Linked DNA regions of Ovis aries. The protein of the gene in region 1 binds, or shares a complex with, the protein of each later gene. Links are inferred from orthologs where the notes say so. Each region holds a gene or a part of one and is shown in the gene's direction. Other genes may lie near its edges. The genes, in order: CRHR1, CRH, GNAS and UCN.

Evidence for each region.
Region 2: the proteins of CRHR1 (region 1) and CRH are in contact, whole or in part, in a cryo-EM structure (PDB 6P9X), measured with the Homo sapiens proteins. The link is inferred for Ovis aries from reciprocal best matches to the Homo sapiens genes CRHR1 and CRH. Residues at the interface, in NP_004373.2 of Homo sapiens: Lys113, Tyr116, His117, Ala119, Val120, Asn123, Trp169, Val172, Gln173, Met176, Ser177, Pro178, His181, Thr192, Tyr195, Asn196, His199, Phe203, Phe260, Gly261, Lys262, Tyr267, Tyr272, Gln273, Met276, Ile277, Leu280, Tyr327, Phe330, Phe331; in NP_000747.1 of Homo sapiens: Glu156, Pro157, Pro158, Ile159, Ser160, Leu161, Asp162, Leu163, Thr164, Phe165, His166, Leu167, Leu168, Arg169, Glu170, Leu172, Met174, Arg176.
Region 3: the proteins of CRHR1 (region 1) and GNAS are in contact, whole or in part, in a cryo-EM structure (PDB 6P9X), measured with the Homo sapiens proteins. The link is inferred for Ovis aries from reciprocal best matches to the Homo sapiens genes CRHR1 and GNAS. Residues at the interface, in NP_004373.2 of Homo sapiens: Arg151, His155, Tyr212, Leu213, Ala216, Ile217, Leu219, Thr220, Tyr221, Asp224, Arg227, Ile290, Ile293, Leu294, Lys297, Leu298, Ala300, Ser301, Lys311, Lys314, Ala315, Val318, Leu319, Leu322, Phe362, Tyr363, Asn367, Ser368, Glu369; in NP_000507.1 of Homo sapiens: Gln35, Arg38, Ala39, His41, Val217, Phe219, Phe376, Cys379, Arg380, Asp381, Ile383, Gln384, Arg385, His387, Leu388, Gln390, Tyr391, Glu392, Leu393, Leu394.
Region 4: the proteins of CRHR1 (region 1) and UCN are in contact, whole or in part, in a cryo-EM structure (PDB 6PB0), measured with the Homo sapiens proteins. The link is inferred for Ovis aries from reciprocal best matches to the Homo sapiens genes CRHR1 and UCN. Residues at the interface, in NP_004373.2 of Homo sapiens: Leu106, Asn107, Glu109, Lys113, His117, Val120, Asn123, Trp169, Val172, Gln173, Ser177, Pro178, His181, Gln182, Thr192, Tyr195, Asn196, His199, Phe203, Phe260, Gly261, Lys262, Pro264, Tyr270, Tyr272, Gln273, Met276, Ile277, Tyr327, Phe330; in NP_003344.1 of Homo sapiens: Asn84, Pro85, Ser86, Leu87, Ser88, Ile89, Asp90, Leu91, Thr92, Phe93, His94, Leu95, Leu96, Arg97, Leu99, Leu100, Glu101, Leu102, Ala103, Arg104, Thr105, Gln106, Gln108, Arg109.

Annotation. Positions count from the first base shown.
Region 1 is NC_056064.1:45,562,857-45,570,225, forward strand, and holds part of CRHR1 (corticotropin-releasing factor receptor 1), read left to right. Parts: intron 1-2,306; coding exon 2,307-2,426; intron 2,427-7,303; coding exon 7,304-7,369.
Region 2 is NC_056062.1:43,567,523-43,575,331, reverse strand, and holds the start of CRH (corticoliberin), read left to right. Parts: upstream 1-3,460; 5' UTR 3,461-3,464; coding exon 3,465-3,546; intron 3,547-7,809. UniProt on the Homo sapiens protein: Hormone regulating the release of corticotropin from pituitary gland. Induces NLRP6 in intestinal epithelial cells, hence may influence gut microbiota profile.
Region 3 is NC_056066.1:57,157,231-57,164,599, reverse strand, and holds part of GNAS (guanine nucleotide-binding protein G(s) subunit alpha isoforms XLas), read left to right. Parts: intron 1-543; coding exon 544-588; intron 589-4,801; coding exon 4,802-4,859; intron 4,860-4,945; coding exon 4,946-5,065; intron 5,066-6,843; coding exon 6,844-6,941; intron 6,942-7,369. UniProt on the Homo sapiens protein: Guanine nucleotide-binding proteins (G proteins) function as transducers in numerous signaling pathways controlled by G protein-coupled receptors (GPCRs).
Region 4 is NC_056056.1:34,380,338-34,387,555, reverse strand, and holds UCN (urocortin), read left to right. Parts: upstream 1-2,825; 5' UTR 2,826-3,623; intron 3,624-3,884; 5' UTR 3,885-3,897; coding exon 3,898-4,287; 3' UTR 4,288-4,447; downstream 4,448-7,218. Other genes in the region: protein Mpv17, read left to right, coding at 82-438; TRIM54 (tripartite motif-containing protein 54), read right to left, coding at 4,984-5,000, 5,304-5,396, 5,531-5,655, 5,772-5,794, 6,063-6,296, 6,990-7,085. UniProt on the Homo sapiens protein: Acts in vitro to stimulate the secretion of adrenocorticotropic hormone (ACTH). Binds with high affinity to CRF receptor types 1, 2-alpha, and 2-beta. Plays a role in the establishment of normal hearing thresholds.

The DNA of each region.
Region 1 (7,369 bases):
TAGCCCACCAGGCTCTTCTGTCCATGAAATTCTCCAGGCAAGAATACTGGAGTAGGTAGTCTTATTCCTTTCTCCAGGGGATTCTTCCAACCCAGGGATTGAATCCAGGTCTTCTGCGTTGCAGGCAGATTCTTTACCGTCTGAGCCACTGGAAGCCCATGTAGATATACAGAAAGATGTAAAGCACTTGGCAGGCGCTTGGCACTCAGTCAGCTTTCAGTAAATACTGCTGCTTTCCCTACTGCCTCCTCGACTGTCCCACCCCCCAGATGGGCACGCAGTGTGGTATAATAGAGTACTCGATTTAGAGTCCAAAACACCTGGTGATGAGGCTTGGTTCTTTCATTCATTGGCTTATGGCCTTGGGCAAGTCACTTAACTTCCCTGGGCCTCAGTTTTCTCATCTGTAAAAAGGGAATAACAAATCTGTAAATTTTTAGACAGGGGGAGTAATGGCATTGCAGGGTGGATGAGGAGCAAACAAAATCATACATGAAGAAGGGCTTTGAAAAAGACAGCACGGTCCATAACGTTATCCCTCCCTCCCCACAGCCACACACCTGCGGCTTCTCGCCTTCTCCAGGCTCAGCTCTATCCGCAGGATCCAAGGCAGATTAAAATCTCAACCTGCTTTCCTCACTCCCCTACCCCCAGCACCTCTCTGTGATGCCATTCATGGAGGCGCCATGGTGGCACAGCGCCAGGGCTTGACCCACCTCCACCGCCTGGCTAGTCGTCTCCTTGTGTCCATTAAGCCCCAATTCCGAATTCTTTCTCTTTCAGTTAAAACACTTGGCCTCGAGGCCTCTGTCCTTTGAGCCTGGACTTGCCCACACACCCTATGAAAAGCTTTGGTTAAAAAGAAAAGCCAGCATTTGGTACAAGGGTTGCTCAGCACGTGTTGCATTCAGCAGGGAAGGGACGCCAGTCTAACCAGTGCTGTTTCCTGAGAGACTGGGCACAGGCCTGGCTGGGGAGGGGGTGGCAGGTGGGCCCCTGTAGGGCTTGGCAGCTGCTGATGCCCTGCGCTAGTGATGCTGCCCCTTCATTGGTTCATGGCTCTCCCTGGCTTGTCTGTGCAGTCTAGGGCCAGTCTTGAGTTATTAACCCCACTCCCGTCGTGATGGACACACTGGGCCTCCATAGGACTGGTGTGACAGCCTTGAGAGGAGGGGAGCCTGGAAAGGGGTAGAAAGAAGGGGCAGCATCAGGAGGGCGGCCAGGACTGTCCTCAGCCCAGCCCCCACCTGTTGGAGACCAAAAGCCCCTTGCCCTCCAGAAGTGTTACTATGACTTCAACTCTGCTCCAGTGTCCATGTGCGTGCACACACACACACACACACGACTCCAGAAGCTCTTAATTTTTAATTAAGGGCAAACATTTGGAAGGGGATTTTGACATCCTCTTTCTGGTCCAGTTGTTTATACCCTTTTTTGAGTCACAGACTCCCTTTGAGAATCTAATGCAAGCCATGGTCCCTTTCCCAATTAAAATGCATGTATAGAACAAATTTTTCATTAAATTTCAAAGTCTATAAGAACCTGTACAATTTCAAGTGGACTGAGATTAAGAATTTCTGATCAGATCCAACTACTTCATTATTGATAGGCCCAGAGGTGGCAAGTGACTTGCCTACACTCACACAGCAAATGAGTAGCAGAGCCCAGTCTGAAGCCTGGGTTCCGAATTACTACTTCAGTAATTCCCCACATAGTGTCTCTCTCCCTTTTTTCTCCATGATCCCTCTCAGCCAGTCCTTTCCTAGGTCCTTTCCTAGCATAGATTAGAGCACAAATGTTCAGTGATTGTGGTTATCAGGTGAGCTGGAAGGTGGGCCAACTTCTTTTAACTGGTTCCTACAGGTTCAGAGCAGATGTGGTTTGGTTCTAGAGGCGTGTAAGGGGACTGAGTCAGGGATTGGCTGGGTTTCTTCCAAGCTGTTCCAGGCTGTGAATTCTGAGCGCTCCAGTCTACACCAAGTGCAGGGCCAAGAGAAGTGTCCTCAGACTACAGAGCAGGGGACCTGGAGCATGTCCAGCCTTCCTCTAAATGCCAGCCAGGACCTCAGCTTTACCACCACCCCAGTGTCTCTGTTCCTCCTCTGCTCTGGAACCCACATTGGCTCCCTAGTGCCATAGCATCAAATTCAGATTCCTTCCCTTGGTATCTCCTCTGCAGAAAAAGAGCTCCTCTCTGCACTGGGGTCATTGCTGTCCTGTCCTCAGTTGGTGTGTGAATGTAGACTGGTTGGGGGGACACTGGAGTGGGGATGTTGCTCTGTCTCACCAGCCGTCTCTGCCTCCAGGACTGCAGTGCAATGCTTCCGTGGACCTTATTGGCACCTGCTGGCCCCAGAGTCCTGCAGGGCAGCTGGTGGTTCGACCCTGCCCTGCTTATTTCTATGGCGTCCGCTACAATACCACAAGTAAGGAAGCCTGAGAAAGGTAGACCGTCTCCTGGGAGGTGGGACAGGATGCAGAGAACTGGGGGCTTGTTGCAGGTGGGGAAAATAATACTGACAGTGACAGTAATAATACCAATACCATTCATGGGTACAGCTGCCATTGACCAAAGGCCAGCTGTGTGCTCTACTGGGCACTCTGCTATTTACTGCGGACACTCAGCAATACCCTGGAAGATGCTACATGTAACTATGTTATATAGTTAAGGCCTCCAAGGTTCAGAGAGATTAGGGAAGTTGCCCAAGATCACCAGCTGGTGAGACCGGAATTTGCATCCAGGTCTGACACTTTCTTCTGCAGTTGACCTGCTGGTTAATGTTGGCATGAGCCATGAGGTAGGGCAGGGGTCATCAGAGTAGCCCCAGCTTTGCTCAGAGAAGTTCCCAGGCCTAGCCAGGGTCCTCCAGCCATGAGGTAGGGGACTCAGGGTTTTAGATACACAGGCGGGGGGCTTGTCCTTGCAGGCAGGCCCACAAGTGGGGTGGGGACAGAGGAGAACTGATCCGGGCAGGGCTTGTTCAGATACTTGATCCTCACATAAACACCCTGCTCCCCTTGGGCCCTGAGCCTCCACCTCCAGGCTTTGCAGCTTCTTGCTATGCCACCTGTCACCCTCAGAATTAATTTGCTCTCCCCTGTCAATGACTCACAGCCCCTGCTTATCAAGAGAGCAACAGCTGCAGGCCAGGGGCCCTGACCTGTCTGGGGGGGGGCGGGGTCCCTGGGTGGGCCTTTGGGGTTTGGTGGGCCTGAGCTTAGAGCCCAAAGAGGGGACAGAAGGTGATCTCAGATACCAAATAATTGTGTGACCTTTAGCACATTTTTTTCCCCCTCTTTTATGGTCCTCTGGCCTCTCATCTGAGGATGGAGAGGGCTGGACAACACGGCTTCTTAAAACTTTGTCCAGCTCAAAACTCTCAATTTCCTTCTCCTGCCCCTCCCCTTTTCTACCAGCTGGATTAAGGGGGCTCGGGTGGGGGGCCACAGTCAAGGAGGGGTGGGGAGGGCCCTGGGGAGGTGTTGGGACTGGGCAGGAGGCTGGAACAGCCAGACCATGCAGCCTGGACCCAGGAGGAGAAGAGAGCCTGGAGGAGGTGTGAGGAGAATGTAAGTAGGAGGGAGGGCTGAAGGACCTGAAGAAAAGTTTGGGGTGCTCATCCTGCCAACCTCCAACTTAGTTGGGCCCCTTTTACCATTAGGAAATGGAGGCAGTGAGGCTGAAATCGCCCAAGGTCACAAAGCTTGGAGGTGGCACTGGAGCTGGGAAACCAGAGCCCTCCTGCTCCTCCACTCACCCGGCCGGGTGCCCGGCCCGGGAGCTCCCTGGAGGGAGGCAACACTAGGGCTGGTGTATGTTGGGGGGTGGGGGGCTACTTCCAAAAGGAGCCCCGCAGCCCCGCCCATGACAGCACCAGGTCCTGTCAGCTCCACCTCCAGAGTGATCCTCACGTCTGACCCTCCCTGCCTTCCATCCCCAGTGCCGCTGCCCCGGTTCAGGATACCTCACTTTCCAGTCCTCGTCTCTCATCCGACCCTGTCACACCCTTGCTTGGAGTCGACCTTTCTGTGGTTCCTTCTCTGTGGCTACCGTGCGACCTACCTTTGAGCCAGCCCTGGCCACTCCCCATGAACTGCCCCCACTCTTGTCCCCAAGGACAACTCGACAGCCCCCCAAATACACCATTAGTGCCTAGACACACGCTACTCGACTTGTCAGCCCTGCCTTTGAGTGGAAGCCAGGAGTCCTGGGTTCTAGTCCCAACTCCACACACACCTGGTTAAGGAGCCCTCTGCAACTGGCCCTGCCCGGGCCCTCAGTTTCTCCACCTGCAGGATGGGTGGGAGGTTTGGGTGAAGTGTTCTCTTGGCTCCCTTGCTCTTCCGTCTGTGATCCCAGGAGAAGAGCAGGAGAAGGTGATAATTCCTTGAGGTGGGGGCAGGGCTAGGAGACTCCCCTTTCCAGGTGCCTCCCCTGTCACAGTGATGAGAAACACCGCGTAATCAGGGGCAACTGGGAACCCAGATTTGTACCTAATCATTAGGCACCAGTTAATTCGTTTACCGAGGAGGTGCTGGCAGGACGTCTAGGCCTTCTCCCGAATGCCCTCCTTCCCACTGCATCTGATCTTCAAAGGGATGGGAAATATTTCCAAAAATATCAATTTTCCCGTGATTCTCCAGGAGGACTGCTCAGCTCAGCAATTAAAGACAAGGAGGTCGCATCCTCCCTGGAAACTTCATGCTGCCTGTTGGGCCTGTTTTCTTGTGGGATCACCTCACTTCCCACCAGAGCCTGCTCCCTCTGGATGATCCAGCCTGGGAGGGACTCCAGGCTCCTGCCCCACCTGCATTCAAAAGGGGGGGCTTGAGGCAAGGGGGTGCCTCCGGGACCTGTGCCTCCTTTGATAGCGACAAGTGGCATATTCTGAGTCTTATGTAAGGTTGTATAAATATAGCTCCAAGACAATAATAATAAAAGCAACAGCTCACACCACATGCCAAGTAGAGCTCCACATACCCTGTATGTGTCAACTAAAAACGCCTCTCAACCATTGAGCAGGAACTCTTGTTAAGATCATTCCTGTCTTGCAGATAAGGAAGCAGAGAGGCTGAAGGACTCGTCCAAGGTCACAGAGCTAGTAAAGGGTGCTGTCAGGATTTAAATCCAGGCTATCTAGGTGCTGTGCTAAATCGCCACAGTCATGTCCAGCTCTGTGCAATCTTGTAGACTGTAGCCCAGCAGGCTTCTCTGTCCATGAGATTTCCCAGGCAAGAATACTGGAGTGGGTTGCCACGCCCTCCTCCAGAGGATCTTCCCGACCCCGGTATTGAACTCACGTGTCTTATATCTCGTGCATTGGCAGGCGGGTTCTTTACCACTAGTACCACCTGGGAAGCCCTGTCTGGGTGACGAGCTCTTAACACTATAGTGTGCTGCCTCTCTTAAGGCAACGCCCCCTCCTCTGCCCATGCTTCTTCCCACCAGATTCTCTGGCACCAAGTCCCTTTGTTTGCAGACATCTGGGAACAGCCTCTGGTCCCAAGCACCTCCCATCCACCGCAGACACATAGGATTCCCCAGCTCCCTTGCCTCCCCCCAGGCCTCCCTGAAACCCCAGCCACGGAACCCTCAGCCCTCTGCCAGCTTCTCCCTCATTTAGCAATTAGGAGGGAATGAGCAGCATCTTCAACTCTGCCCAAGGGCTCAGCTCTGCCGGGACTTGGGTCCAATGGCTGGGAAGCCGAGCAGAGCTTTAAAAATCCATTTAGCCTCATTTCCCCGCTGGTGCTATGGGCGAGCAGCCTCTGAGCAGAAGGGTTTAGAGAGGAGGGAGAGCCAGGCAGCGGTTCCCGCTCCCAGGTAAGCGGCAGCAAATCCCACCCCCGCCCCCCAACACGCCGCCCCATCCTCTCCCTCTTGCCTGGTGCCTCCAGCAGAGGCATGTCCCAGGCTGGGCGGCACCCTGGGGATCGGCTGACGTAGCCCTCCCTCTTGCGCATGAGGAGAGCGCCCCAGGAGGCGACCTGACTGATGTTACTCATGCAGCAGGGGCCCCCATCTGCCTCCTGTGGGGTCCTCTGCCCCTGCAGGGTTCCAGGCTTGGGGACTGGGATCCGAGCAGCTTCCCCCGCCCTCCTCCAGCCCTGCTGGGGTGGAGATGTGACATGCAGGTCAGTGTGAGCCATGGAGAGCCCTCCAGAGGGGAGGGGCTCTGGTGGAAATGGCTTCCAGCCAGCGCTGCCTGGAGTCAGGGCCAGAATTCACTCAAGAAAACATATTTAGAGCCACCAATGCCTAAGAGGGGTCCAGAGTGGGGCAGAGCGATCTCTGCCAGCAAAGGAGAAAAGGTCAAGATGTGAATGTCCCTCAGACCCCTCCCACCTGGGCTTCAGGGCCCCAGTGTCCCCGGAGAGTGGGCAGGAAGGAGAGTGTCCCAGTGCGCTTTAGCCAGCCTCGGTTTAGACCTCAGATGATTCCCGATGTCCTTCGGAAGTGACACATTCTGGCTTCCAGGCTGGTGGCAGCCTCGACCTCTCGCCCCTCCCCCGGCCACTCTCCTGTCTTTTTTCCCAAGTGTCAGGCTGGGAGCCTGTTCGAGCAGATCTTAATAATCAAATACTTGCTACATGCGACCCACTCCCGTGACATCCCCCAGCACACCCCTCGTCTCCAGCCACCTGTCATTTTCTGCCCACCATGCTTGCTCGCACCGTGTGAGCCTCCAACATGAGGCCGGCTGTAGGGAAATGGCAGCCTGGAGCCCTTCCCTGCCCCCTGCCCTGAGAGCCCCATGCCCTGTGAAAGGACCCCCCAGAGGGTGGCTTACCATGGTGCGTCCTGCCCCACGAAGCCGGTCAGTGCACCGTGCCACGCGCACTGCCACCGCACACCGTCCGCATCACGCCTGGCCTCGAGAGCGGGAACTGAGTCATCAGGACTCACCCTTCAGCTTTGCTGCCACGTGAGACCCCAAAATGGGAGGTTTCTCAGCAGGGCGCCCACCGTGTAATCTGCGGGAGACAGCCCAGTGAGCCAGTCAGGCCTCTGCCCCTGGGCCAGTCCCGTGGGTGTGGGTGGGCACAGCCGTGGCGCATGGGCAGCCTTTGGGGTTGCCACTGCGCCTCTGTTAGTGGCCAGTGGCAGAAAAAGGCAGGAAAATGGAGATAATAAGAAAGCCCCCCTCCCCAGCTTCACCCTAGGGCCCCCAGCAAGCCAGCTCCTGGGCTGCCCCAGATGGACGGGTAGATGGACATACGAATGGCAGCTAGATAGATGCTCGGGTTACTCCTCTTTGGGAGCGGAGCCTGGGGTCATTCTGACTCGCCCTTCTTTTTCCAGACAATGGCTACCGGGAGTGCCTGGCCAATGGCACGTGGGCCGCTCGCGTGAACTACTCCGAGTGCC
Region 2 (7,809 bases), on another chromosome or scaffold:
GGTTTCCTATGGCTTTCCCTGAGTAATGTGGGAAAAAGGCAAAGTTGAGTCTTACTTTCCCTTCTGGGCATTCTGTGTTCTGGCTATGAAGCCAAAGGGAGTGAACTGTTGAATACGAAAGCACCTGTAATGTGAAGTATTTCTGGAAACTCCACTGAGTTCTCAGCTCCAGATCCAGTAAAGAGAACTGGAGTGAACCTCATTGCTCCATGTGATTTAGCCAAGTGGAGTGTGGTCCAAAGAGAACTACTGTTCTTTTGGGGTGTGTTAGAGAGTCTGGGACCAGAAGATCTGTTAGGTTCTGCCTGGTTGGCTGACCTTCAAATCCAACAGTGGTTCCAGGGCTTTCTTTGTCTATTGTAGTGACTACGGAGTGACTTTTCCTTCATGGAACCCACAGTGTCACTTTCATGGGACAAACATCCTTGGGATTTAACCATATGTTGGTACATTACTTTGCCAACAAAGGTCCGTCTAGTCAAGGCTATGGTTTTCCAGTGGTCATGTATGGGTGTGAGAGTTGGACTGTGAAGAAAGCTGAGTGCTGAAGAATTGATGTTTTTGAACTGTGGTGTTGGAGAAGACTCTTGAGAGTCCCTTGGACTGCAAGGAGATCCAACCAGTCCATTCTGAAGGAGATTAGCCCTGGGATTTCTTTGGAGGGACTGATGCTGAAGTTGAAACTCCAGTACTTTGGCCCCCTCATGTGAAGAGCTGACTCACTGGAAAAGACTCTGATGCTGGGAGGGATTAGGGGCAGGAGGAGAAGGGGACGACAGAGGATGAGATGGCTGGATGACATCACTGACTCGATGGATTTGAGTTTGAGTGAACTCCGGGAGATGGTGATGGACAGGGAGGCCTGGCGTGCTGCGATTCATGGGGTCGCAAAGAGTTGGACAAGACTGAGCGACTGAACTGACTGACTGACTGACTGGTCCAAACCAAGCCCATAGCATCCAAAGTCCAACATGACACTGTCCTGCCCACTAACAGTGCATTTCTAGCAGGAGAAGGATAGTGATTTTGAGGCAAGGGAAGGTATCTAGTGTGTGCTTTCCACGTGATTGCTTTCCAACCCTGGGGCTTTGGGCTCTTGCTAATTTGTCTGAATGTCCTTGCGTCTTAAGCTACAGGAGTAAGAAGTACTATGAGCTGGGCTGGAAAGGTCAACCTTGCCAGAAAAAGATTCTATCCTTGTTAACATCTTGGTTTCATTAATCTCTGCTGTTTCTTTTTCTCTGCAGTTTTTGTTCACTGGGTCTTTGGTTTATTAATTCTTTTATTTACTGACATTTGGGAGGTAGAGACAAAAGAGGAAAAGATTTTAAACTTTGAATTCTCACTGTTTGAGGTCCATCATGTGATCCCTCCCCTACCTTTGGATTGGAACTATTTGGATAAGACCAAATTTTAACTTTTTCTTAAGTAGATTATCCTTGATATTTTGTTTTATCATTATTCAAATCCACTGTAAGTTTGTATGCATCAGATTATTTTGTATTACAGGATTCTTCAGGCACAAGTGGAGCTTATACAGCCAACTTTATTCAGTGTTCACAATGCACACATAGATAGTCTGTCATTTTTGATGATAAAACTCCTTAGGATATGGGGTGGCATAGCTGTTCAGAACGAAGTTATAGTTAGTGGAAAATTAAACTTCATTTTTGAGGCAATAAAACATCAATGACAAAACCACTAGCAACAATTATTTATAAACTACAGTCCCTTGTAGGATTTCATACTTAAACAACAGTGAAAAGAAAAACAGAAATGAGAACCTGCCCCTCCTGAGAGTTTACTTTTTTCTCTCTACATTCTCTGGCTGGAAGCCTCAATTTTTCAATTGTAAGTTTTCAGAAGAGCATCATTTTGCATTTCCTGGACCATCTATCACACAGTGACTCACAGGGTTGGGGTGTGCGGGGCAGGCACATCAGCCTGCTCTAACTGAGAACAGGATGACATGATGTCATAGAGTCAGCTCCACGGAATGCGTCATCCACACAGTATCACCAGGCAGCTCTTGCCTTGATTCTGAATCTCAGAAGATGCTGCAAAACGCTGGAGGGAAAAATCTGTCTTATAGTCTACCGCAGGCATAAATAAAAATCAATTTGATCCTTTGGCGCTACCTCTACTCCCAAAGGATCCCAATGTTCTTAGCTCCTACCCCTGGAGTATTAGTCACACGTCTCTGAAATGCCGTCTCCTCTGTACTAGAAAAGGCAGGCCCCTTAAAGGTAGCCCTCTCTACAACAGGTTTTATTTTGAGTGGGATATTAAACAGTGCCTCTAGTTAAAATGACAGGGAAAACTGGAGGGAGGGAAAATGTAATTTTCCACATTGGAATTTAAAATTTTTAAATTTATTTTTGGTTGCACTGGGTCTTCGTTTCTGCTCGATGGCTTTCTCTAGTTGTACAAGCAGGGGCTGTTCTTTATTGCAGTGTGCAGGCTTCTCGTTGTGGTGGCTTCTCTTGTTGTAGAGCACCGGCTCTAGAAGCACTGGCTCAGTAGTTGTGGTGCACGGGCTTAGTTGCCCTGCGGCATGTGGGATCTTCCCTGATCAGGGATCAAACCTGTGTCCCCTGCATTGGCAAAATTCTTAAGCAGGGGACCACCAAGGAAGTCCTCATGTTGAATTTGACCAAGACATAGTGGTTAATAATCCTCCTTTTTAAAGGACTATATGATTTAAGTGGAAGAGAACCCTCTTCATTGCAGAAGACACAGTGTGCATTCACACGGACTTGGATTGAATGAAAGGATTCAAGGAAACAAAACAGTTGGAGGAAGGGTTGAAGGTACTTAATAACTAGGAGATAAAATCAACCAGTAGGTTTAAGTGGATGAGAAAGCTATAAGGTCATTATCTGTATGAAAATCTGTGTCTGATGTTTTAGAAATGTGTTAGAATTGAATTGGCCATCAAATGACAGGTACAATTTCCTCCTGAAACTCGTTAGTGGCCAACCTCTTGAAGATGGAGAATGCTTAAAAGACCATCCACTCTGTCTTCTGCATTCAGTTTGAATTATTTTAAAGCATCTCAGAAAGAGGAGACGCTACCCTACTGTATGGCTAAACTCAAGAATCCTATTTCCATAAAGGTTTTTTTCTGTCTCCACCCCCTTACCCAATTCTGATTCTCTGACAGAGGGTCTGATACTAAATGAGAGAGCACTGGAAACCTCCCAGAAGTTCACCTATTTAAAGGATTTTGAGTATCATTATTTCATATTTATTCAGAAGAATCAACAGAGCCCTTCTTTGAGGAGATAGCAGAAAGCTGAAGAGCTGACAGCATAGAAAACTGTCACTTAAATCTTTGAGCTGTGTAGCCCACAAACTATTGCTAGAAACCAATGACGTTGTAAAGCAACTTTGAATTGGGCTTCCAGGTGGTGCCTGTTAGAAGGGCCTAGGAGCAAGGCATCATGGGAGACCAGGCGCCATGAATGTCTCGCCGTCGACTGGGAGGTTGCAAAGCGGCTGCTGCTGTTTTCCTTCCAGTTCCGGAACCAGCTGTCTGGCCCACAGGTAGGCTTCTTGGGAGTGGTTAGGGTCTGTTGTCATCATTCCATTTTGGGTTTACAGGGGTGGTGTTCCACAGGTTGTTGCTTACTTTGCAGTCTGTGATCCACGGAAGTTGCCCTAGATGGATGGTGGCGTCAGCTTCATTTACTTTTGTGTGCAAACCATTGTGTTAAAGATGACAGGACACGTTAATTTGACCAATTCTTAAATAATTAAAATAGTGAATTTGTCTAAATAACATATAGCAAGTTAAAAACCAAATACCACAATATAGTTAATTTTTGGTAACCTTGAACTGACTTCAATTTCTGCCTAGGCTAGCCCCGTTTCTAAGAAAAGATAGTATTTTAAAAGCATTCATTCAACAAATATGTTTCCTACCCTTTGGTAGGAAGTACTGTGCTAGGCATTGTATTTGCAATAATAAAGTTGCTTCCTTTCCACAGAGAGGTGATAGTGTGCAGGAATGCAATCTTCTAATGAATTAAAAACCTCTTCTGGAATTGTAGTTCTTTTAGGATATTAAAGGTGCCCGAGGTCTGACTCTTAAGTTCCTGAGAGTTTCAGATCTGGAAATAGCAAAATTAAAAATGCACCGGGCGAAGGCAGCCTTTCAGTGTACAGCTTCTTGTTCTCAGTAGACAAGTGCTGTTTGACTCTTTATTTCCCTGTGGTAAAGCAGAAGGGAGAAAGGAGAAAGGCAGCCTAAGTGCCATGGTGGTCCCCACCCCCCAAGAGGGCTTCCAGGAACGTCTAAATCACTGCAGGTTTTCCTCATCTTCCATCAGATGAACAGCTTCTAACTCACTTCAGCCTTCCCTCATCTTCCCTTAGATGCATAGGTTGGTTTCATACGGTAATTCTCTTACCTGCATCTTTTGATTCCCTGGGATCTTTATAGTGCGGTGTTTGAGATGGTTGACTTATATCTTCAAATACATATTTATAACAAAATAAGGTCTTTAAAAGTTGTAATGTTCATTAAATTTGGAAAACAGAGGTATGTGGAAAGAAAAAGAAACTGTAATCTGACCACCTAAATGTATCCACCATTTACATTTTGGTGAACTGTCTCCTAGCCTCTATTTTTCTTTGCATTGTGTTATTTTAAAGTGTGAAATCATGACATATATTATGCACAGCTTTATTCCCTTTGCCTTTTGATTTAGCATTGTATTCTAAGCATTTTCCTTAATACAACATTCCTTCAAGGATTCCTTCAGAATCCTTGTTTAATTATGTCCTAATAGTCCATTGAGTGGAGTTGTTTTATTTTGCTTTGTTGTCTCCTGCATAGGCTTCTAGCTTTTCATGATTATAAACAATGCTAATAATGAATATTGCTATGTAGATTATTTTAATCTAAAACTGGGAGGATATTAGTTTAAATCAAAATTAACTTGTCAAAAGCTCTTGAATAGGGCATAAAACTGAGCTTTCCAAGCACGCACTGTAAGGCCCGATCTAGCCGCCCCCCCCACGCTTTCCTGTTTGAGGAGGGGAGTCTTGCTGCTCCTGTTTCCCTTTTCCCCCATCAGCAGTGGCATGTACCCCGTCCAGCCTTGCCTGAATGGACCCCTCATCTGTTGGGTTTACGAATAACTATAGAGTGTCTTGCGGAGAAGGCAGTGGCAACCCACTCCAGTACTCTCGCCTGGAGAATCCCAGGGACGGGAGAGCCTGGTGGGCTGCTGTCTATGGGGTCGCACAGAGTTGGACACGACTGCAGCGACTTAGCAGCATCAGCAGAGTGTCTTGCTGGAAATGGTTCAGTCAGGCCACATGTTGCTGCTTCTGAGTAAAGCACAGACTTTGGCAACCATCTGATAAATTTGCCTCGAGCTTTCTAGAAACAATTTAGGTTGTCATTTGGTTGGAGTCAGACATGTTATATTTGCAGACAACTCTACGTTTTTCAGGAAAAGGGACCAGGCCCTCTCCTTAGCAGACATATTGAGGAGTGGAGTGGGAGGAGAGTGGGCGTCGATGTTCCAAGAGATGTGGCTTGGAAGTGAGGGCAGGCCTAGTAATGGCTCATCTGAAGTCAGCTCGCAGTGTGGCCACCAGCATAGGTTTAGACATGCTCATGTGCTTGGTTGGATATCTGGGTGAGGATGCAAATTGAAAAGGGAAGTTCATGCAGAGTGTTGTTTCTACTTTGGTTGGTATTTCCTGAGATGGACAGTTGGAACATTAAAGATTTTATGGGTCAGTTACATGCTTTTGAGCTATACAGTGGCACATAATTCATATGATATAGTGACATGGAAAGTCAGATGTATATGATTTGGAGAATTTTGCCATTTGATTTTGATATGTAAATTTTGACCTTGAGAGTTTAGCAACTGCCAAGACTAATGAGCAAGAGGAAACATCACTGCCATCCCATCCTCCTATGAGCATCCAGGGCTTCTTTGTATCACAGGCTGGAGCTGCTCCAGGTGGGGAGGGCGGGGCAAGAACAGTGTGTGCGTGTGTGTATGTGGGTGTGACTCTGCAGACCTGTGTTCACCTGTCACTGGAGCTCCCCTGGAAGTACCTGAATTTGGTCAAGGGTGAGGGCATATTGCTTGGCCCTGTGTAAACTGTAATATTATCAGTCAGGGCCACCTGGGAGAAATGTCTTCTCTGAACCACCTGCGTGATTCCTCTCACCCAAGAAGCAGTGGGCAGCAACTGGGGACCAGAGTGGCTGATTCTCAAATGCCAACCCATTCCAACCCACCACTTTTTCAGGAATGGTGCTAAGGCCCTGGGAAAGCACAGGCAATTACACCCTGCCTGTTAAGATGGGCAGGTGCCCCCCCTCCGACCTACGCTGACTCCCCGCCCCAACCTCCCTCCCTCCACCCCTGCCTGAATCTCTGCTGTTGGCAGGAGATCCACTCCCTGCTGACCTGCTTTCTGGTTCTGTAGGGAGAAGCTCTCCCTTTCCTAATCATTTTCCACATGCACAACTGTCAAGTTACATAGGGACCAAGAAATAAAAGGGGTTTGAAGAGAGGTGCAGGCAGCTACATGTGTGTATAATTGCAACTTTCTTTGCAGTACATCTCCTCAGAAGGGTTTACTTGTTTAAACTACACAGAGGTCATGAGAGCCTTACAGGACGAGACTAGATCACTCCCACCAGCACTCTCATCATCATTCCTGAGGCATCGTTCTATCTTGGCTCTGTACTGTGGGGTAGATGGATGATCTTGTTTTGTCTTGCTGCTGATCAAATAGAAAGGATTCGGGGTGTTATTCACAGTGCAAAGTAAGTTCTTGTCTTAGATGCCAAAAGCTATAATGTCCACTCAGTTCGATTTTAGTGGGGAACTGAGGCACTCCTCTCAAAGTTGACTCTTCTATTTTAGCTGCTTACGTGAGCCAAACTCAGCAGGATTGACTCAAGTCCCCTCTTTGTTTAGTACGTCTAGTCTCAACCATACAGTTACCCTCAACTTGACAGTTTAGTTTTCGCCAGGCCATGCCTGAATTTACCCTGAAATGCTTCTGTGAAACCCTGAAGTTATTGCTGGATGGAATCAGACTGTGGACTGAAGAGGGCCCATGTTAGGAGGGGGAGAGCTTGATTTGAAGAAGGAGGTCTAGATGGGTGGATGACTGTGATGTCAGAGAGAAGTTGTTGGTTTTTTGTTTGTGCTTTTTGGGTTTACAAGGGAGGAGGAGTCGTGTCTAGAAGAAGCAACGGGGAATATTCATGAAGAATACCCATGTTGTGTGGGAAGCCAGTGAATGAGCAACCTCCCTGAGATGCCTTCAGAGAAGGTGATGTCTGTTCACTCAGTGCATACGTGTTGCGCATGTCTAGGTGCTGGGGACACGAGGTGGTACGTGCCTCATGACCAAGGGCGAGAAGAGTAAAGCTGTGCTGAGATCAGCGGCATCCCAGCCAGCATTCAACCAAGTCCAGGAGGGCCGGTCAGGTGCAGGAGAGCTCCCTGGGATCTGAGTGTCCAGTCATCCATTTACCGTGGACAAGGGTCCAGGGCAGGAGGGGAGAGTGTTGGAGAGAGGGAGCAGAGAGGGTCAGGTGAGGGGACCCAGGAAGCCCCTCCCTTGTCTCTATTTTCTCTTGTCTACAGACACTTCCTGCTCCCTTTCCCTACACTGGCTTTCTCTACTTCTCAGTCCACTTAGCAGAAAATGACTGTATTCACAGCCCTTGGGTCTTTGTAACTCCTTTGTTCCAGGGGCCAGCCCAGACTGAAACTGGACACTCAGCCCTGACTCCAAATTTCCAGCTCTGGCCCAGACTAG
Region 3 (7,369 bases), on another chromosome or scaffold:
TTTGCTGTGTGCCTCACAGTCCAGGCACACTTTTAATTGATGACAATTTGTGGGAACAGTTACATAGAAATAAAAACATACGTAGCTGCCCAAGTTCAAGAAGGGAGGAAATTAATAATGCACCAGAAAGTCACGGGCCGAAAATCATGGACCTATGTGTATTCAGTACAACACGGCGACTGAGGTCTGGAACCATCAGGGGCCTTTCACGCTGCTATATTCTCCAAAGAACTGTGAGATAAATCACTGCGTTAGCTCCCTGATGCATGTACATTTAGTGAAAGCACAAGAAAATAATTATCCGTCCCTCCTGTACCTGACGGAAGTCTCCAGAGGGTTCTGCTAATGCTGCAGTGAAGGTGTGGAATTCTTCCCTCCATGGCCTGCAGTCTCAGTAGACGTGCCAATTTAGCCAGGAAGGCGACCTAAGAATGAACGGGAGGATGGCGGCCGTTTGTTTAGGAATGTAGGGAGGCTGTGTGGGGTTTTTGTGAAATTGCGGTGCCTTGCAGATTAGGTGAGCTTTCAATCTCTCTTTAAAAGGGGCGGCGAAGAGGACCCGCAGGCTGCAAGGAGCAACAGCGATGGGTAGGAACATTCAAAAACAGAAAAACTTTTCACACACACACACCTGACAAACACAAAGCTCATACTGGGAAACAGGACACAGAGACCCGGGAAGAAAACCAAAATCATTTAAGGCCATCAGCCATCTTGGTATATACATTTGCAAACAACACAATTTCTTGTCATTTCAGAGCAAGTGAAGTGCAAAACAATTTTTTTTTTTTTTTTTTTTGCCATCCTTAAGGTATAGTTAGATTCAGCTGGGGGAAAGCTGTAGCGTTCAGCATTAAGACGGTCAATTTAGGATTTCAAACATAGACGGTTTCTATCCCCCACCCCCAGCTCTCCATTTGAATTGGCTACTTGTTTTAAAAACTGGCTACTTGTTTTTAAAACTACTAAATTCTGTCTACCCTGTGGCTGGTCTGATGTTAAGATTTCAGACCTCTTTGGGGGGAAAAAAAAAATCTTTTTATCTCTATTAAAATACGTGGTGCCGCACCGTCCTTAATTGGGCGGGGGGAGATAAATGCTTGGCACCTTGAGGAGGAGGGAGGTCATTATTGAGAATGATCTCGAAAAGTCTCTGGTCTTTTTAAAATTGTCATTTTATCCAGTGGACAGGAAATTAATGATGGCCTCCATCTTTTTCCATTCATTATCAAATTATTTTTTTTCCTTCACTTCCTGCATCCGCACTGCCCATCACACTCATGCACACGTACATACACGCATGCCAGGTAACCCTCTCCAAGCACTGCTCTGCGTATTCAGCATGCAGTGAGGGAGCAGGTCTTTGTCCTGAGAACATGCAGAGCCAACTGACCTAGCCTAGGGCACCTCAAAAATAGCTTCTGTGGCTTGGGAGGGGAGGGGCAAAGGAGATGGGGGTCGGGACCAAGTAACTGACACATGTTTGTTCATCTGTTTTTTTTAGACTATATAACCCCTAGATGATGGCTTCAATTTCTCATCTTCCCGGCTATGTCCTATCACACTTTGCATGCTGGAATTGCCCGTCTTAGGAACTTCTAATAAGAATACTATTCTGTTGTGGGGGGTGGGGGGATGGGGCCCCAACACCTAACCTCTAAAGATAACTGAAAAAAAATTAAAAAAAAAAAAAAAAAAAACAAAAAGCAAAAAAAAAGTAATCCCTAATTGACAAATACATAGTGTATCAACCACCCAAAGCATCTACATAAACAGTGATTGACAGCTTACTGTACCAAAAGTTGGCATTTGGGAGCTGTGACCCCTCTCTATTGAACCACCTCCCTATTGAACCACCACCTGTATACTTCCTAGATGCTATGCTAGATCCCTGACTGAACCCTACTAATACCTACTAACAGCCTGCTCTTCTATCTGTGACTCTGTTCTACAAGTTAAAACTTAAGTATTAACAAATGTGATAAATAAAAATTCTCTGCATGTCTCAGCAATCCCTGTATCTTGCGTCTGTCTTCTGTCTTTCTTCTTTCGTCTGTCTGCCCACCAAAAGAAAAAAAGCATAAAGATAAAAAGGTATAGAAGTCAGTATACAACATAGCCTTCCCCTAACACTTGGAGGAGGGGGTGGCCATCTCTTAAAATTTGAACCCAGCATATAAAGCAGCCGTGATCTCAGGCTTTATATATTCTGCGGGTAGCGGGGAGGGGGGGGGTTACAAAATCCAACAGTACTTCCAGCCCCCACTTTTCATCCATCCGAATTCTGTATGTAGTTGATATACATTTTGGCTTTCATTACTTCAAAAACATATGAGGAACTTTATCAGAGGCTGTCACAATCAATGTTAAATTCATTAATCGATAGTAAAAGTTATGATAAACCTGCCAACCCCCAGTATAATATCTCCATCTACATAGTAATTGCTTCAATGGAGGAATTTTTGTTTTAGTATTACACACCCGAATTAGATTTCAGATTTCTATTTTAGCTGTTTTATACTTGATATACTCCCACACCTATTCACATACGTAGATGAATACTGAGCACATTCTCAGAATATCCGTATTTAAGACTGGAAGTTTTCCAATTACCATACTACTACTTAGACCAAAATATCAACCTGAATGAAAGAACCAGGTTTCTGGAAATAACTTTTCTCTTGCTTTGGGCTCATTTGGGCATTAATACCCAGACATACATGATTTTAACTGTTGTGGGACCTTAAAACCAAAGCTCCAAGGCGCTCATTACCATGGAAATGGAGCTTCTTTCTAATGAATGGGAATGAGACTGTCTTGTGGGGTTTTAACTTTGAATTTCTGTGTGCAATTTGGGAACAAACATGTCCGTTTAAAACTACAATGTCTAAATACCTGATTTAGGCCGTAGCGCCAAGTCGGGACACGATTGGGAATTTCAGAAACTCACAAACTCACAGAGGGGGTCAGGATGAGATCCCTTTATATCGATGCTGGTTGCATTAAGAGTCAGGGGTTTGGGGCACAAATCCCCCACTTCTGGTTGGCAGCACAGCTCTCCTGGAGTTCTCCCGCCTTGCAGCACTTTTATTAAAAGCCATGAGGGGGTTCCTGGTACCATCTGTAGCCCTGCACCCGCAAAGCATACACCTCTTCAGCCCCTGATGAGGGCAGTACCTCCAACTAGCTCCCCCCATTCAGATACGAGACTCGGAGGCCAGTTGCACCCTGGGGAAAGGAAGAAATGAGATCACTCGGAAAACAAGGGCCCACCGCTCAAAGGAATATGCAAAAGGCTTATTTTGAAAGGGTGAAAGGCCAAGTTCTCCGGGGGGCGGGGCTTTGCAGGCGATCACATGGCCACACAACCCACCCCACCCCCGGCCCTGGAGCTGCCTCCCCCTCCCCACGTCACACTGACCTCCCGGCTAGGCTGCTCTTGCTGTTAACATCCCCTCCCCGCTTGTCCTCTACGCTAATGTCCTGTCGTGTCCTGCCCCTGCTGAGGGGCTACGTGTTTAATTTCTACCTCCATCCCAGTACTGTAGGTGAATTAACCCCGTGAATACATCAACTGGATTCCAGAGATTTATTTTAAAAATCCCCAGCAAGAAAAATATAAGCCCTGTCCCCCTCCTGCCTCTGTCACCGGGACCCTCAGCCCCTCCCCTGAGGACAGCACCTTCCATCTTTGTGACACTACTGTCACCTCCCAGGACCTGATACTCAGTAGGTGTGTCCTGGGTGTGGTCCAATCCCCTAGCCCACAGGTGACCCACTCTGGGCAATACTGTGGCAAGAACACAGCCCCAAAGAATCTTTCTTGGCTGTGTTTGATGATGGACAGTGTCTGAAGACACAGGGACAAGCACAATGTCAGGGTTCCCCAGAGTCAAAGGGCCTTTACCTGTGGCCCCAGGGACCCTGAAAGTAGCTGGTTCCACACAGACCACACGTGCCCTGCCAGGTGTGCAAGTTAAAATCAAAAAGTGATGAAGGCACTAACATCTACTTAACCGTGGGGCATAGGCCACACCGCCTCCCTCCCCTTCCCCTCGTAAGTCCCAGATCTTAAAAGACTTTCAGGGAGGGGTGGCAGAATTCCATTTTACTGTATTCACATCGAGGGATCAATGTATATGAACATCATCAACTAGAAATATTGTCCACTGCTGCTGGCCACATCGAGGGACACACAGTGACTATTCCAATAAATAGGGCCCTTAAGTCTGTAATTAACACTACCACCTACATTTCATTCACTGCTGATCCCTATGCTAATCCAGTGACTGAAGAAGCCCCAAGGCACACCATGACCTTTCCGCACCTCCCTAACCCTACAGTAACACTTTACCGCTCCCACCAAAAGCTTCGGGACAGGGATGCCTGGCGTGCTGCAGTCCATGGGGTCGCAAAGAGTCACAACTGAGCAACTGAAACCTCAGTAGGGATGCTAATAAAGGCCAGTAGGAACTTTTAGGAAGTGCTGGTATGCAGGGGGGGCCACAAGAGGGTGGAAGCCCCTCTGAATAGTAAATAACCAGGCCACACTTCTGGTACAGTAGCCACAATCCTTATCTAGATGCTTGGGATTCTGCCCTACTTGGGCGTGTCCTCAGGACACAATGGATGGTTATCATTTGAAACCACCATTGTTCAGGAACCTCCAACCTAAGCACAGATCTGAACCCACCACTCCTTCAAGAACAGAATACTATTTTAGTTGGAAAGTCGTGATTGAAACGACACTGTGAGTCAACGTGATGCAATATGATTTTTTTTTTTCTTTTCAATCCCACTGTAGTGAGAAGGCCACCAAAGTGCAGGACATCAAAAACAACCTGAAAGAGGCCATTGAAGTACGTGCCTGGTCCTTTTCTGTCGTTTCTTTTAGCCTCCCTTTCAGACAGTGCTCTCCCCCTGACCTTTGCTCCATCATTTTCAGACCATCGTGGCCGCCATGAGCAACCTGGTGCCCCCTGTGGAGCTGGCCAACCCAGAGAACCAGTTCAGAGTGGATTACATTCTGAGCGTGATGAACGTGCCGGATTTTGATTTCCCTCCCGTAAGCCAAGCCTGCACCCCCTCCCCACACCACCAGGGGCCCCCCTCCCCCTACTCTGCCACAAAACTCAGTTTGCACACTGCCAGCAAAATCCATTTCTTTGACACTGTTAGGAAACAGTTAACCCATTAAGAATCCTTATTCTTTAAATGACAGCAACAGCTAGCAATAATCATTAGGGCTTTAGTCAAGATGGAGGAGCAAAGTTATGTCACCCCTTGTCAGTCTTGACTCCTCTCCACAAGTAAACATCCCAATTCAATACTACAATTCCCACTGGATTGGACTGTAAATTTTCACAGAAGAAAAAGTCATGAGTTGTGGCAGCCTTAATTATTCCCGTATACACATCTTGTGACAAAGTACTGTATGTTGAGTATGGCACAGAAATGCTAATCGTCTAGCGATTGAAACTATTCTGAGATATCAAGGAATGAGAAATGAAGTGCCAGCGCTGAGTTTTATAAATGGGAGATATTCTCATTTTAAACAACTTGCCATTTAACTTTTGTTAATTTTTTTTCTAGAATCAGTCCTTTGGCTAAATGAAGTCTTTTCTCATTAATTAAAAAAAAATTACAAAAGGCCCTCACCTAAATGTCATAACACAGGGATTGTCTTCTCTGTTCCCTGGCTGACGTGCAGGACACTTTTTGCACAGATTTGTTGGCTCTGTAAAGAACTATTTTTAGGGAACAGAGAACTGCCCATGCCCTAAGCATATATATATATATATATATATATATATATATATATATGTTTTGACCCTTAGTGAGGGAAGAATAGTTTATAAGAGGGGAACAGGAAATACGGTGGAAAGATGGGCAAGTTTATAAGGTCCAAAAGGAAAAGACTTGTCTACAGCAAAAACAATGACTTATTGTTGCCTTTTGTCAGGATTTCGTGGGAATTTGTGTTTGTATATTTTAAATGTGTTTGGCTGCAAACTTCTCCTATCCAGGAAGCAGTATTAATAAGTATGGCTAGGTAAATTTTCTTAAATAGGAAGAAATAAAAGAAGAGTCCAGCAGTAAACACAGCATACATAATGCCCAACACAGACTCTTCTGTGATTCTGTAGCTCTAACAGGAGAAAATGCACCAGGATGGTGACTCTTAAGGGTCCTCCTGTTTAGCTTTTGACCCTTTTCTTGCTGCATTCATATTGCAGAAAAACCTTTCCTTCCCTTGTAAGGGGAGATTGCCCCATATAATTAAAAATGTTTTTACGTCAAATGACATATGAACCGTGACCTATTGCAGTTTAAAACTAGGCAGAGGTCATTTGCTCCTTTGATTGATAGGCATTGACTGACAAGGTCAGATTTGCCAATAGCTCCCAATTATAATATTTTTTGCTAAAATTCACATTTTCCTGGAAGGAAAATTGCGGTCTCATCACATCTTCATAAATGAGATGTCTTACCTCCATGACATCAAATCATTTATTGGCAAAGTCTCCTAATTAGCTTGTATTCCTCCTAGGTAAGCAATTGGGTGAGGAAAGAAACTTATTCAGTAGTTCAGTTTGGCCCTTCATCCCATTCCCAAAAAAGTACAGAATGAAAACTACCCAAGACCAGTAATCCACAGAAAGAGATCAGCTGGTGTCAATTTCCAAATACGTGTAGCACGCTGAAGTTCTTTATGAACACTGACTCCTTAGTTTGCCTCGAAACGGAATAATTGCACCCAGGGTTGGTGGCAGGGTGAACTCTGGTCTCACTGACTGGGAGCAGCCCCTGTGTCTAAACATTCCCTCTCTTGTTCACTTCCAGGAATTCTATGAGCATGCCAAGGCTCTCTGGGAGGATGAAGGGGTGCGTGCCTGCTATGAGCGCTCCAATGAGTACCAGCTGATTGACTGCGCCCAGTAGTAAGTACACTGTCTCCGCATCAGCGTGCACGCGCACACACACAAACACGAGCGCATGGAGAACATCCTAAAAACCACAACTCACACTGTTTAAGTTACTTCTTTTCAGAGAAGCCAGCCTGCAGTTTGAAAGTTGTAGTCCAATTCACTGGTTTTATAAAGCCCTTAATTGTACTTTTTAGTGCAGTGACATTATTTTTATACAAACAGGTAATGCCTGGTAGAGCAAAATGATAATTACCTGCAGTAAAGTGATGTTCATAATTAATTACCTTGAAGTAATTAATTGAATTGACCTCCAAGCATGTGGGGAGATAGGACAGCTTTCACACTTTGGATAAGGTAGAAGTATTGTATTTTATTGCTATAATTTAAAACGTGACAAAGAGGAACAGTGTGGCAAAAATATGCCTCCCCCCTCCTTCGTG
Region 4 (7,218 bases), on another chromosome or scaffold:
AAAGGGATTTGGGAAGGGTGAGCTGTGTTGCAGGAGGGCGAGGGTTTAGGTGCTCACAGCACTTTAATTTCTCTTCCCTAGGGGGGCTTTGCCCCATGTTTTCTGGGCTGTTTCCTCCCACTGGTTGGGACCCTCAATGGACTGTCAGCCCAGGACAACTGGGCCAAACTCCAGCGGGTGAGCTGGCCCGGTGTGGGGATGCTTTCTGGCTGGTGGACCGGCAGACCCAGGGGAATGAGGCAGGGCGGGGTGGAGATGCAGGCAGAGCCGAGCTCTGGAGGGGAGGAGCTGGGGCGCCGTGGTGCAGTGGTGTCTTCTCTGAGCAGATGTCTGTGTGTGATACTCACACCAGTTGGCAGTTGGCACTGGGAGGTCCAAGGTGCCCGAAAGTGCTGGTGTTCACTTGTTCCTTCTCTTGTCTCCTCAGGACTTTCCTGATGCTCTCATCACCAACTACTATGTAAGAGCTGGCACCTCAGCTGCTGCTTCTGCTTTCTTGAGTCCAGAAATGCCCAGGGATCAGGGGTCCTCCTGACACAGAAATCCCTCCATTGGGATTACTCCCTCATGCCCATGTGGGCACCATAGTCAGGGAAGCACTCACTCAGTGCCATGTGTTCCTGTCTGGAGAAGCTGGAGTCAGACCAGGCAAGGCCTTGAGACTGGCGTTGGGAGATGGAGGCAGCCCCCCAACCTTTCCCTTCTCTCTCTCGTAGCTCTGGCCTGCCGTGCAGTTGGCCAACTTCTACCTGGTTCCTCTTCATTACAGGTATGGCAGATCCCCACCCCACGCTTCAAGGAAGATGCATATTACAAACAGAGACAAAGTGATCCTCATTTTTAACCTTGAACTACCTTATAACACGCCCTGCCCCTGCCCCCATCCAGAACACCCTGCCCTGGTCAGAGCTCCTCAGACTCCTGAGCACTTTGTTCAGAATCTCTTATGTTATAGAACATCCCAGAGCATCTGCCTACTGACATCTCATCTTCCTAGGGAGGATCTTGCTCCACAGCCCTCATCTCCATCCCACCTGGGCTCTCTACCTTTGATGGCCTGACTGTAGGGACAGTATTACAGCCTAGGTTAGGCAGAAAGGTAGACCAGAGTCAAGTAGGAACATGGTCAGGTTAGTCCACTGAAAAATATTATTTTATCCTAAATAATCAGGGTAGTGGCTGAAAACTCAATAAAAATAAATATAGTGGAAACAGGATGAGTGGTTAAAATTATTGGAGGTGAGGGGGCTTTGGGAACAGGGGAAATCATGAAACTCTTAGAGGAGACAAGGTCAGAATGGACATGAATAGCATAACTAAAAGGAATACAGACTTATGAACCAAATCAAACTTTAGAGTCCTGGCAATGCTCTTTGAAACTAGAGTGAAGTATATTTAAAGTAAAGAGAAGGAGGTGCTGCTTTATATGGCAGGCAGCACATTTTTGGAAGATGAGATCTCAGCTGTACAAGACAGATGTGTATTTAGAAGGAGCTTGGATAGAGTATGGATAAAGCCATGCATGGCAAAATGGCTGCTGGGGGGCAGTTAACTTTGAGACTCTTGTCCAGGAGACAGAGCTCTGGGCCAGCACAAGCACCTGAGCTGGTTGTCCTCTCATCTGAGCCACACATCCCTCCATGGGGGCTGAAGGAAGGAGACCTAGATCTGGACATTCTTGGAGATATTCACCCTTTGTCTGCTGCACTTTCCCCCCTCTCCCCTTGGCTTCTTCCTTATACTTCCTCTTCTTCATGCCACTGTCCCTGTTCCTTAGGTTGGCTGTGGTCCAGTGTGTTGCTGTTATCTGGAACTCCTACCTGTCCTGGAAGGCACACCGGCTCTAAGTCGGCTTCACTCCGTCACTTCCATCTTGTAGTGATGCACCTTGACCCTGGAAGGATCAGACCACCTCTTCAAAGTGGGCACATTGGTCTTCACAGGGTTCGGTGGCTGGTCAGAATTTAATGGGGTTAGCACCCTGAAATGGCCCATTTCACTCTAAAATGTAACCTGACTCCTATTGAAATGGCTAAAACGCACCACACAGTAGGCACTCCATAAATATTTGTTGAAACATCATTTTGTCAACTTTAGATTATACGCTCATCCTGGAAGATGCCACTTTTCCCCAGTCTTCATAGACAGCTGTTTTCCTAACCCTTCCCAGCCTCAGTGTAGCTCCAATTTGGGGGAGATCCCCTCAAACTCTCTATAGGGTGCCTCTGTAAATATATTTCTAAATAGGTAATCTGGAAGCTGCAGAGGCAATGAGTAAGACCCAGCAGAAAATGACTGGGGAGTCTCATTTTCCAGGGTTTGGAAAGAAGTCTGGAGACCCCCAAACCCCAATCTTCTATTACAGATGAGGACACTGAGGTCCATAGAAGTAAAGTGACCTGTCCACACTGTGAGTTAGTGGCAGAGTAGAAACACGAACATGTGCTATCATCATTTGAATGTTTGTATCTCCCCAAGTTCATATGGTGAAAACCTAATGCCCAAGGTGATGGTATCAGAGGTGAGACCTTTGGGAAGTGATTCGGTCATGAGGGTAGGGACCTGGTGCTTACAAAAGAGGCCACCTGAGAAGACAGGAAGAAGCAGGTCCTCAGTGGACAGTAAACCTACTGGTACTGTGATCTTGGACTTCCTGGCCTCAAGAACTGTGGTGAAATAAATGCTTGTTGTTTATAAGCCACCCAGCTTTTGATATTTTTGTTATACCAGCTCAAAAAGACTAAGAAGCCAAGTTTTCTTACTTCCTACTCAGTGATCTTAACCTAGAGGTCTGCGATAAAATAATATTGCTGCTGTGATTCCCAGGAGAAAATTTAACTTGGCTAAACTTCAGCTTTGAGGCAAACCAAGAAGCAGATGGATCAGCCTTTGTTATCTGAAAGCACCCCGGCTCGAGAGGCCCTCTTTTTTAGGCACGTCGGACAGACAGCCCTAGGATTTAGATCCTGGGGCTGGAAGAAGATCAAGAATCCTGGCAGCTCAAACTGCCTTTTGGGTAGGGTACCATTGTGGTAGCTGAATGCTAGCAGTGCCATCCTGACTGCCTCCATTTATAGAACAGATAGTTGGGGCAAGGGACTGGATCTGAGCAGCACAGCATTTTCCCCAAGGTCTCTGGCCCCTTTCAGAGGCTGAGCACAAGGTCAGCACCATGGACAGCACCACCGTCCTGCCTCCCTTTCCTGTTCCAGAGAAGGTTGGAGATCTGGACTAGTCTGGGGACTGACCGGTCCCCCTAGTCCCTGCTGGCTGTTCTAAGTGAGTGAAGGACTCTCGTGGCTCCCAGAGCAATCTTTACGCCCCAGAAGGCTTCTCTTTCTCTTGAGTCCAGTGTCATTTCCAGAGACACAAAGTCTGGTGTCCTCCGGCGCGCTCCTGGGGTCTCGCAGCCATAGGGTCGGACTCAGAGTTGCGGCCGTCATTGCTCTACAATCAGTGCATGTTCCTCGCTGACGTCAGCCGGAGCTGTTCTGGCGCTATATAAGGCTGGCGAAGGTCCCGGGACAGACCCCGTGTTCCCCGTGGCGCCCTCAGCCCTCCCCGAGGGACAGAGACTGGAGCTCCATCCTGCAGGGTGCAGAGGCTCTGCTCTCCTGCGAACTGTGAGTGGCTTCTGCGCGTCTGCCCAGACTCCCTCAGCACTAGGACAGCGCTCAGCTCACCCAACGCGACACCCCAAGAAGGAGGCAGGGAGAAAAGGGTGGCACAGGACTGGGAGCGGCTGGGGCTGGTGGGAAGGCTGTGGGCACCTGACGGCAGTCGCAGGGGCCGGGCAGGGGCGCTGGACGTGCTCGGGAAGGGGAGCGGCGTCCCCTGAGACTGCCCGAGGCGCACCTCACACTGCGCTGCCCCTGTGTGTCCAGGGCCGGCGGGACCATGAGGACGGCGGGACGCGCGGCATTGCTGGCCGCGCTGCTGCTCCTGGCACAGCTGCGCCCGGGGAGCAGCCAGTGGAGTCGGGAGGAGGAGGCGGCGGCCGCCGGGTTCCGAGATCCGAGTCTGCGCTGGAGCCCCGGGACTCGGAACCACGGCGGCGGGGCCCACGCTCTCCTCTTGCTGCTGGCGGAGCGCTTCCCGCGCCGCCGGGCGGAGCAGGGCCGATGGGGATCCAGGACGGCAGGTGAGCGGCAGCGACGAGACGACCCTCCCCTGTCCATTGACCTCACCTTCCACCTACTACGGACCCTGCTGGAACTCGCGCGGACGCAGAGCCAGAGGGAGCGCGCCGAGCAGAACCGCATCATATTCGACTCGGTGGGCAAGTGATCGGCGGGTCTCGGGCCCCGACAATCTCGACCCCCATGCTCCACCTCAGGGTTGAGACGTGAGCGACAGGAACTGACCAAGTCCTGCAGGGCTAGAGCGGCCTAGGGATACCCTGAGCACTCTCCGCGTTACCGGTTTTTAATAAAAGTGCTGAAGAGCCGTTGGCCTCTGTTGTGGGGGCGCGGGGAGCCACAGAAGGGTGTGAGCCCGCGGGGAAGTGGGGTCTCCCAGGCCGGCGAGAGGGAACCAGATGCTGTGGGAGGGCTCCGTGAGAACCGCTTTCTGCCAGGGTCCTGGGGTCCCCATCGTCTCCAAGTCTCCAGGAAGTCAAGCCCCAGTGTCGCCGCCCCACCCCCCTGCCCTCTTCTCTTGGCTCTGGGCTCGCGAATCCGTGCCTAATGTCAAGGAGGTGCCCCATAAGGGTTCGTTCCGCTTCACACACCCCACCCCCACCCGTCCTCGCCCCAAGAGGTCCCAGATTTGGAGAAGGGCAGGATGGATGGTGATGCTATGTCTCCGAAGCAGAAGCTCAGAGAGTGAGCAGTGAAAGGAGCTGCGGGTCGGGACGCATTAACTCTTTATTGAGCCCCTCCCCCGCGGCGCCACGCCGGGCTGGGTGGTACGGTGGTCTCTGCTCAGGTCGTTCACCATCCGAGCGCCAGGACCCGGGTGCGCAGGATCCGCAACAGGAGCGAGTCAGTGCTGGCCTGTGCCTGGGAAAGAAAGCTCAGTGGGCGGGCGCTCCCAAGAAACAAGGCAATTCCGAAGCCCAGCTCACTCGTTTCTCTAAGCAGGAGGGTTTCTCCTTCACTTCCCCACCTAACCCGGTCTCCCACCAGCCCAGAGAGATGGATAGTGTTAAAGAAAGTTGTACTTGGGCCGGCGCGCTAGAGGGCGCGCCCCTCCTGGTTGAGGTTGGGAGTAGGGGCTCCAAGCGATCCCTAATGCCCCCGAGAGTACGATGGCCCGACGGTGGAAGGGGGTCCCCGCCAGGCCCCGCCGATGTCCACACTCACTTTCCCGCCCATCCGTCCGCTCTTCCTCTGCTCCTGCGTTGCCCTCTTCCCCTTCTACCGCGACCTCCTCATCCTCTTCCTCTCCAGAAGTGCCTAGGCCAGGAGAAGGCTGGGTGAGTTGGGGTCCCTTATTCTCTGGCCGTCTTACCCCCATCCCTCCCAGACCCAGAGGGTCTGGACGCCCAGTCCTAGCGGCTGGCCGCTCCCTCCCATCCTGGCTTCCTCACCTGGCTGGAAGTCAATGGTCCTCAGCATTTCCGCCACATGCTCCACGCTCAGGGTGAATTGATCCATTCTTTCATAGCCCGGCTCCGGCCGGCCGGCCAGCTCCACCTTCGACATCGTCCCGACCCTGCAGCAGCCCAGCGGCTCAGCTAGAGACTCCCAGCACCACTACCCCCGCTTCCCACCCTTGTCAGTGGAGTCCCCGCCCACCCCTTCCTCTCCCTTCCCGCTTCACCTACTCACTTATTGATCAACTCCTTGGCCTGCTGCAGGGAAGAAAGGAGGGTGAGAGTAAGCACTGTGCCAACGTCCAGCAATATCCCATTTCTGATGCCCACCACTGTCCTGCGGGTTAGGGGGGATGCATGTCCCAATTTGTTAAGGAAAAAAATGGATAGAGAGGGTGACTTGCCCAAAGCCACGGGGCAAGTAGGAGCCAGAGGTAAGACTTGAACCCGGCTTCCCAGTGCAAAGGCCCCCACTCCAGCCACTAGGTGGCCTGCCACTGCCCGCCCCCCTCCCCCCAGGGCCCACCTGCAGGTAGAGTGCCATCTGCGGCTCCTCCATGGACTGGATGGCAGACTCCACCAGCTTAGAGGAGGCCTCCAGGTGGTCTCCGTACTGGCGGATGAGGCCCCTGACTCGCTGCAGCTTCTCCTCCTGCTCCCGGGCCAGCGCCTGCAGCAGCTCACCCTTCCGCTCCTCCAGCACTGCACACAGGCCCTCAAACCTCTGGTTCAGCAACTGCTTCTGCCTCCGGCTGTTTTCCTGAAAAACCAGGAGTAAGGATGAGACCTCACAGCTGGGAGAGTACCAGGCTACTTGTCCCACTCCCCACTTAATGGCAGTCACGGGGAGCCAAGAAGAGATGTGACCCGTCAATTACAACCACAAATTAGTGGCAGAGACCGGACTCCACCCAAGGGCTGCTGGTTCCCAGATCTTTTCAGTAATAATACTGATATATACTTTGTTGAGGTTTAATTGACATATAACATACTAGCTTCAGGTGTACAACATAATGATCCAATATTTGTATATGTTGTGAACGGATCACCACAATATGTCTAGTTAACATCCAGCACCATACATAGTGGACAAAAATTTTTCCCTGTGATGGGAACTTTTAAGATCTACTCTCTCAGAAAATAACACTATATATTTAAAGGAGTTTCATTGAGTGCTGCTGCCTAATTCTCTGACTCTGGTTTTTGTTTGTATTATCTCACTTAATTCTCAAAAAGATCCATGGAGGTAGCCATCATATCATTCTCATCATCACTCTTTTACGTAGTTAAAAACAAGCAAACCCAAACACTAAGAAGTTAAGTCACTGGACCAAAGTCACAGAGGAGGACAGAGCTGGGATTCAAACCTAGCAGCCTGGGTAAGCACATTCTACTACTTGTGATTCACCTCCAGTAGCCCAGCAACTTTCCCTCCCTCCCTTTCCAGGCTCACCTCGATGGTCTGGCACACCTCCTCCATCTGTGTGATCACTGCTTGCACACGGTCATTGCCGGCCACCAGCATCGCGATGCCATCGCTGAGCTCACTCTGCCACACACAGAGGCCAGCACTCAGGGCTGGAGGACCTGGTCTGGAGCTAAGCCCCTCCCTCCCTCACCAGGGCTACCCAGGAGAGGACTGTCCCCTCCACTCCACCATCAGGGCATCCTCAGGGAAACTC